2 linked regions of the Bombyx mori genome follow. The protein of the gene in region 1 purifies or fractionates together with the protein of each later gene. This does not show direct contact. Links are inferred from orthologs where the notes say so. Each region holds a gene or a part of one and is shown in the gene's direction. Other genes may lie near its edges.

Region 1 (3,827 bases):
GGCGGTGGTCTGCTGCAGGTGCGACGTGATCATAAACATATTCGAGGACGCGGCGCGCGTGTCGGTGTGCGAGCAGGCGTGCGCGGCGTGCGGCGCGCAGCTGGTGGCGGTGGAGTACCGGCCCGAGCGCACCCGCCTGCCTGCCGCGCTCACCGAGATGACGGCCTGCCTCTACTGCGAGCCCATCTTCAGCGCCCTGGTCAGTGCAAGCCGAAATAACATTATTTGTGACGTCATTTCAGGCCAAAATGAACGACGAGCTAACATCTCATATACTAACATATCCCTATCCCTACTACACCTACCCCTACATTGTAAATGTCTTAATGCACAAATTATTACCATTTTACAAAAATTATGTTTTAGTTTCTATTAAAATCCCTTACGATGTATAATTAAAATCAGCGCATGTAAACTATACCATCCGGCTATTTGCCACGTACCACCCGGCTATGGAATGAGCTCCCCTCCTCGGTGTTTCCCGAGCGCTATGACATGTCCTCTTCAAACAAGACTTGTGGAGAGTATTAAGCAGTAGGCAGCGGCTTGGCTCTGCTCCTGGCATTGCTGAAGTCCATGGGCGACGGTAACCACTTAACATCAGGTGGGCCGTACGCTCGTCTGCCTATAAAGGCAATAACAAAAAAAAAACTTGTCGCAGGTTGAGAAGCACCGTGCGGTGACGTCACGCGCGGGCGGCGGGGCGGCGCGGGGCGCGGGGCGGGGCGGGCGGCCGCGGGTGCACAAGCACCGGGCCAAGCAGCCCAAGGACAAGATGGCGCTCCTGGCCGCGTACTTTGTATGACCAGCCGCCCTCACCCTCCTCCCCCCGGGAACGTGAGCCGCGCGTCGCGTGACAAAACGTCGCAACTCCAATACGAACGAGTTGCTAAAATCGATTTTATTGCTAGCACTTGACATGTGTTTTACGTGTGTACTCTTTGCTCTACTACCGACTAATCTTTAGAGAAACATTAGAAACGTAATCTTGTTCGATTATAATTTTTGATTTGGGATGGCTCTGGTCATGGACATACAATATTATGCATTTAAGATGTCGATAAGTATGCTATTTGATTCGTGTTAAAATCGTCTTTATGTTCATGGTAATAGCTTCGATGAAATAGCGTTTTAATGTTTTTATTTAAATAAATTAATAATAATCGGGAGCGAATCACACATGGTCATCCAGCCCCTAATTTAGGATTTCCTATATTACGGGTACCAGAGATTGACATACATACTTATACAAGTTTTTTTAAATAAGTACATATATAGATAATAAACAGGCGAAGAGCAAACAAAGCTGTTCATCACACGAATGTTTGCTCAATGTGGGAATCGAACCCACGACCCTCGGCGCAACAGCCAGGAGCGCTAACTACTGCACCACCGAGTCAGTCAAACTATTACATTATATTAATTATGTAAAGTATTTACTTCAGTGTTTGCGACATAACTAAAGCTACATGAATGGTTTAACCTATCGTCTATTATTGTCATTATATTATTTGCGGCGCCTCGAATGCTGTGCAGTTCTCATGGTCACACTGACGACTAAGCCGTAAGATTATTTATTAACATTGGATTATTACGCTAAGTAACTAATATACTATTAAAAAATATATAGATTTTTACCTTTACGGAATGTTTACAAAGCTCGAAAGAGTCTAGAGTCTAGAGAATACACTAGGACGCTAAAACCCGCAAAACCGAACCGCAAATGTAGTTTTTAATCATAGTAAATAAAGTTTACATTTCCTATGTCGTGTTTGTAATTACGGTATATGTATATATAAAAATGAATTGCTGTTCGTTAGTCTCGCTAAAACTCGAGAACGGCTGGACCGATTGGGCTAATTTTGGTCTTGAATTATCTGCGGAAGTCCAGAGAAGGTTCAAAAGGTAGATAAATTTGAAAATGCTCGGAATTACATAAAAATAATGATTTTGTTTTTGCTTTGATGTGTGTGTCCCCCGTCGTACGGATTCCTTTTGTTTGTTTTAAGTTTATTTTATACAAAAGTTTAGGTCTTTTATTTCTCGATTGAGGCACTACGAAGCCTGCCGGGTCAGCTAGTTACGATATAATTATTATTGAAAGGCACTACACGTATTGTGTATATGTGTGTATATTGCTCACGCCCCTTGCAGTTCCAAAGTGGGGCGAACTGGCGAAGAAACTTTTTTTTTTAATCTACCTAAGCTGATAGCCTTGAGAGGCTATGTCAGCGTAACTGGGTGAGTAGATGAGCTCACGGGGCTCAAACCGGGAGTGTTGCTAACACAGGCCCTAGCAAGAGCCGTGATTCGCAGAATCTACCACCGGATCGGAAAGGCGACCCACTGAGAAGATCCGGCGAGAAACTCAGTGGGCTGTGTCTGTGGGTTAATTCACTCGTCGAGCCCTTCGTCGCAAGCCAGGAGTTCGGTGAGGACGGTGACCGGTGTTTGAGGTACCTAAAAGCACCGTTAATGGATCGGGAGAAACCTTAGAGATCTGTGTCATTAAGGGATTTTCAATTGAGTTTTAAAATCATACTCTGTGTGCTTAGTGCGAGTTTTTTAACGTTCTCGATAACGTAAAAGTTATGATTTAGAATGGGATCGTTTGCCTACGTTTGCCGCTAGGGGCGCTGTTTCAAATGCACACAAAATTGGGTTAACTTTTACGCTATCGAGAACGTTAAAAAACTCGCACTAAGCACTCTGTTGAATGTCTGTAGCATACATACGTAGTTGTACTGTAGTGTTCATGTATAACATATGCTGATTAAATCATGTCTCTTTCTAATCTATTAAATTTTGTATGGTTTGATAATGTTGTATTATAGAAATAGAGCTTGTTTTATTTGTGAATATGATATCGTCGCTTACGTAGAGCAAGACTTACAAGTTAACGCTTACAAGTTAATCTATTAATAAGTCTATAGTTTGTATGTTTCTTGATATAAGAACAATTCGAATCAACCATTATTATGCTTTTGAAGTGATAATTTCGGTAAACCGGTACGTTACGTAACGCGTTACGGCGTTAGTCTGTCTAGCTTCTCTCTCTCTCTCTCTCTCTCTCTCTCTCTCTCTCTCTCTCTCACTCACGCATACGGCATCGGTACAGAGGACGTATGTAACTCGTAACTATTTACATATCGACGCTTGAAAAACAAACGTAACTAAGCGACAATGCGTGAACTTTACAGTAGACTAATTTAAATTTGAAATACCTGAAAACAAAATTTATTTTAACGAATCTAGCTGTAGTAGAATCTAGCTAGTAGCTGTAGGATTGAAATGATATTAATAGACCTAGAAATATATTTTTTCTGCGCATCGAATATGGTTATTGCCCATCATTTATGTACAAAGCAGTTATTGTCGCTTAGTCACGTTTGCCTTTCAAGCGTCGATTATTTTTCAATTCATGTTACAATTTTCCTTACATTATCATATTAAGATACATAAAATTTAAGTAATAACCTAAGATTTTCTCAAGTTAAATAGTTCAACTTAGATTAGCTTAAGCTATCACTTGTGTCGGGCGTCCCGAGACGCATATTTGGTTATATTTGTATACGCGTGTGTAACATTTGTATTTATAATATATAAATGAATGTCATCAACTATGTAATGTTTTATTTGACCTCGTGTTTTGGTTGCTTAGGTGCTGCAACTCAGTCGGTTTAGTGTTCCATTGTACGGAGCTTCTAATTATCACTTCAGATTGGTTATGGTTGACAGTATTGTTTTAGCTTGAACGCTACTAAAGTTAGTGGTCATTTATGTGTCCTTAATAGCCCCAATGCATTATGTGTCAATTGATATAAGCT
Region 2 (4,381 bases), on another chromosome or scaffold:
TAAAATATTAATTGTAAACATATAATAAAAATAAATAGAATTCTTCAAAGCTACATAAATATATTTGAGTCATTTTTTACCGTAGTCATTTTACTGTAACTGTACACGTATACTATATGAAATAATGAATACGACGGCTTTGACGAACACTCAATAAGTGATTGAACTTTTTAGGATCTTATCATTTATCAAATATTGATAAAATTAATTGAGGATAATGTTCTGGCGGTATATTTCTGTAGTCTCTCGCGGACGTCTATAGCAATACACTTAGCACAGAATCAGAAACTGATAAAACCCTGATAACTAGTTCGAATTCGAAAGTAGACTTGTGTAAATAGGCTATGTTAGCTATTCTGCTTTGTATTCAATTATTAAAAACACAATGTTAGAAAGAGACGGACGGAGATAATGGACGGGACTGTCATAAGTGTCATACAAACTTTTCTCCAGACTGCATTGAGATGGGCGGAGGGCCTTACAATCTCATACTATGCCGCCTCTTAAATTTATCTTTGGATTTTTGTTGCTAATTTTACTAGTTTCAATTAAATTAACGTCCGTGTTAGTTGAATTTTGATTTCACTTGCTTTTTATACTTGCATTCTCTAATATTATCTTCTTTCTTTCTGGTCGTTCCCTCAATGCTGAGAATCGTGACTGTATGTCAATCTTCTCCACTCGGTCCGGTTCTGCGCCATATGTACCGCTCCCCGTATCTGGCCTCCAGTCACCTCCTTGAGTTGGTCCACCCATCTAGCTGGCGCTCTTCCTCTAGCGCCTATTATTGTACTTCCGTCGAACCCGTCGCTTGCGACGAAGGGCTCGACGAGTAAATTAACCCTCAGACACAGCCCACTGAGTTTCTCGCCGGATCTTCTCACTGGGTCGCGTTTCCGATCCGGTGGTAGATTCTGCGAAGCACGGCTCTTGCTAGGGTTCGTGTTAGCAACGTCATCAGGTTTGAGCCCCGTGAGCTCACCTACTAGTTAAGGCTAAGCTGATATAGCTTCTCAAGGCTCTTAGCTTAGGTAGGAAAAAAATCGCCACTGTCTTTATATTTTATTATCAATACTAAAATCAAAATAATGACAGTAAATTAACCCATATATACACAGCTCGCTGAGTTTCTCGCCACATCTGTGGGTCGGTTTTCCGATCCGGTGGTAGATTCTGCTTTTTTGTTTTTTTTTCCTACCTATGCTGATGGTTTTGAGAGACCATATCAGCGTCACTGTGCGAGGAAGCACTGCTCCTTTTAGGGCCATGTTAGCAGTACTTTCAGTTTGAGCTCCGTGAGCTCACCTACACGTTAAGGCGAAGCTGAAATAGCCTCTCAAGGCTATTAGCTTAAGTAGGAAAATAAAAAGCATTTTGTAAATACTAGCTTTTAGCGCCATCTTTACCAGATTTTGTGGGCTACTGATTAAGAGATGCCCACTATCAACCTTGATTAGTCTGTGCTTACCTTGTTTTAAGTGTATAATCTATGCCTTGTACTGTCATGGTGCCGTATGTCCGTGGGCCTTATTATTTTCAATTCATTCTCGCAGAATAATGTTAATTTGACCTTAAATCAAAACATGTCATTACGGGAAACTCTTAAGGAACTGGGCTGGTAAATTAATTAGCGCTTTAAATTTATTGATGTTATTTGCCACCGTGCTTTTAGATCTAAAGTAAGGGTTTGGTTTTTCCAGGCATTTGACCGAAGAAGGCATCGATACGATAACCGAAAATGGTCAAATTCAAGATGTAAACATTCTTAGCAAAAAAGCTTTAGACGTAAGTATTAAATCTAATTGGATTCGCAACCCAATTTCAATAATAACCAACTAAACATACATGACAATTTTCAAATTTGTAGTACGATTTGAGAGACATCAGCGAAGGATCGTTACCTGAAGACTTTGTCAAGGATCCGTCTAAATTAGAAAGCCCCGTTGTTGTTCAAATTCAGAAGATTAGGAATGTGTCAGCTCCTAAAGCTAATGAAGAATCAACATCTGCCCCACGGATGTTGAAGCTAACCCTGCATGACGGGAAAGTAACGTGTACAGGTCTAGAGATAAGTCATATACCCAGTCTAAGTATAAACACCCCACCTGGAACTAAGTTGTTGCTGAAGAATGAAGAGCTAGAAGTTTGTCACGGAGTGGTATGGCTCACCCCATCAGTGATATCTGTATTGGGCGGAACAGTATCTCATATGATTGAAAAATGGGAACTGAACAGAAGTCTTGCCAAACACACAAGAGGTAAGCAAAACAATAAAATAAACTTTTATTTAATCAATTTTATTCAGCAATTAAATAATCTAAATGTTATGTTTTTGCAATTAATATTATTCCTAAAGTGCCAGTACATCTCACTCTTGCTAGAACTTGCTTACCACTAGCAGGACATGAAATAATGCGAAATAGAATCCTGTCAGAACTTGTTTCTAGTTAATTTACTTAATCAATATGAAACTAAGACTCTGGCCGATAGATAGCGGTGCCATATTGTGGTTCTTGAAAAAATAAACTTTACTAAAACAAATATATTTATTAATCTTTTGACTGCCCTAAGTCAGAATATTGTTTTTTGTCTTATGTTCATGTTGAGAATAGAGTTTTTTTTAATTTAATTTTGAAACAGGAACATGTTGTATTATAGTAGGTAATTGTCAGATATTTATCATAAAAAGTAGTTTTGTCCTTATAGAAAAATGAATTTCAGTTTCGCCTTTCCATTAGTATAACAGACACTAATAAGTTTCAGACGAAATATAGTGCAGTAGAATATCTGTAGAACTCTTGATTTAGATAATATATTGCTCATTAACATTTGTTCACCTGTTGCTGGCTTATAATCATGGATGTGTTAGAGTTACTACTAGCTAAGGACCATAACCCAATACTTATACATAACAAATATTAAATACAGTCCTCTGTCAGTGTGAATGTAGATGGGTTAGCTGCTCAGGTTCTACTTGTCTGCATAGCAGTGTGGCACTGTGTTTGCACAATTTGCATGATGTGGCTGACTGGCTTCTGTTTTTACTACTTAAATGGGTGGACAAGCTCAGAGCCCACCTAGTAATGAGTGGTTACTTGAGCCCATAGACATAAACAAAACAAATCTGTCACCCAGCTTGAGACATGTGTTCTAAAGTCTCAGTTTTTACAATGTAATTTTTAAGGCTTCCCCACCCTTTAAACTGAAATGTGTTACTGCTTCCTGAAAGATAAAGGATAGTGTTTGTTGGATCCTTCCCTCCTCCTCCTTGCATTAAAAATCCTCAATGCTGGGGATCTTTCCCACTCTTAAACAAAGTGGGAACAATAAAATAATGTAACTAGTTCTGTTGAACCATTTGTTTATTGCGTACTACTAATAATGAAAAATAGAAAATTAATATTAAGAAACAGTTGCTTGTGCATGGTGACGTGACATCGTGCATCGCCTTGCCAGCAATTGGTTTATACGTGGCTTTCGATGTTTCATATCTCAAAATTACTTTAAACTGTTTAAAACTCTTTATAGAAGGTAACTTTAAAAAAACCTTGCAACTATGTTAATAAAAATTACTAATTTATAGACACAAATTTTTTTAGTTAAGTTGATGTTATTGCTTTGGTCCTCTGGCATCTATATAGAAATTGCATTTATTTTTAATTGTGTTAGAGATAGTGTTAGAGAGATAAAATGTTTATAAATTAAAAGCTGATACCCTCATAATATTAATTTCATTCTGATAAAAGGAGGCATAGGAGCTGAAGGAGGTCCTCCACCATGGATTCCATTTGGACAGAGATTAGAAGCTCTTTCTGTGGACAAACAGTTCAAGAGTCTACAAGAAGCTGCCAAACAGGACAATCCAGAGTTCGAGGCTCAAAGAAAAGGTGCTATTGCTGAGGCACAGAGGATGTCTGGTGTGAAAAAGGCATGTCCTTAATATTTATTGTTTTATATTGCCTTTGCAGGCATACAACATTTCACGAGCAGCCCACCTGATTATAAGTTGTTACCATCACTCATGGAATTGGCAAGATTAAGGGCAGAGCTAAAACACTACTTGCTGCAAAGATGATTAAGTAAAAATGTTTCTTTTTACAGGTTTTTGGTGGTGGAACTAAACCTTTACTGGACGCAAATGTTCAAAAGATTGTAGATGCAGGGTTTACAGAGGAACAAGCAGAAGCAACATTAAAATATACCAAGAACAATGTTGATAGAGCACTAAAGATATTGCAGAAAAGAGACAACTCTGAAAATAGGAATAAAGAGAAACCACAGAAGGAACAAGATCCAGTGAAGCGTAAAGGTCGCCACAAAGAGTCTGGTGATGAGGATGGTGTGCCTGTGAAACCGTCAGGAAAAGTGTCATTGTTTGACT

Evidence for each region.
Region 2: the proteins of DNA topoisomerase 3-beta-1 (region 1) and tudor domain-containing protein 3 purify together in Drosophila melanogaster (affinity purification with western blotting; 3 studies listed by BioGRID, with this or other methods). This does not show direct contact. The link is inferred for Bombyx mori from reciprocal best matches to the Drosophila melanogaster genes Top3beta and Tdrd3.

Annotation. Positions count from the first base shown.
Region 1 is NC_085120.1:2,608,411-2,612,237, forward strand, and holds part of DNA topoisomerase 3-beta-1, read left to right. Parts: intron 1-18; coding exon 19-199; intron 200-661; coding exon 662-805; 3' UTR 806-3,827. UniProt on the Drosophila melanogaster protein: Releases the supercoiling and torsional tension of DNA introduced during the DNA replication and transcription by transiently cleaving and rejoining one strand of the DNA duplex.
Region 2 is NC_085119.1:13,786,466-13,790,846, forward strand, and holds the start of tudor domain-containing protein 3, read left to right. Parts: upstream 1-1,305; 5' UTR 1,306-1,514; coding exon 1,515-1,618; intron 1,619-1,700; coding exon 1,701-1,785; intron 1,786-1,867; coding exon 1,868-2,258; intron 2,259-3,746; coding exon 3,747-3,928; intron 3,929-4,101; coding exon 4,102-4,381. Other genes in the region: copper chaperone, read right to left, coding at 81-89.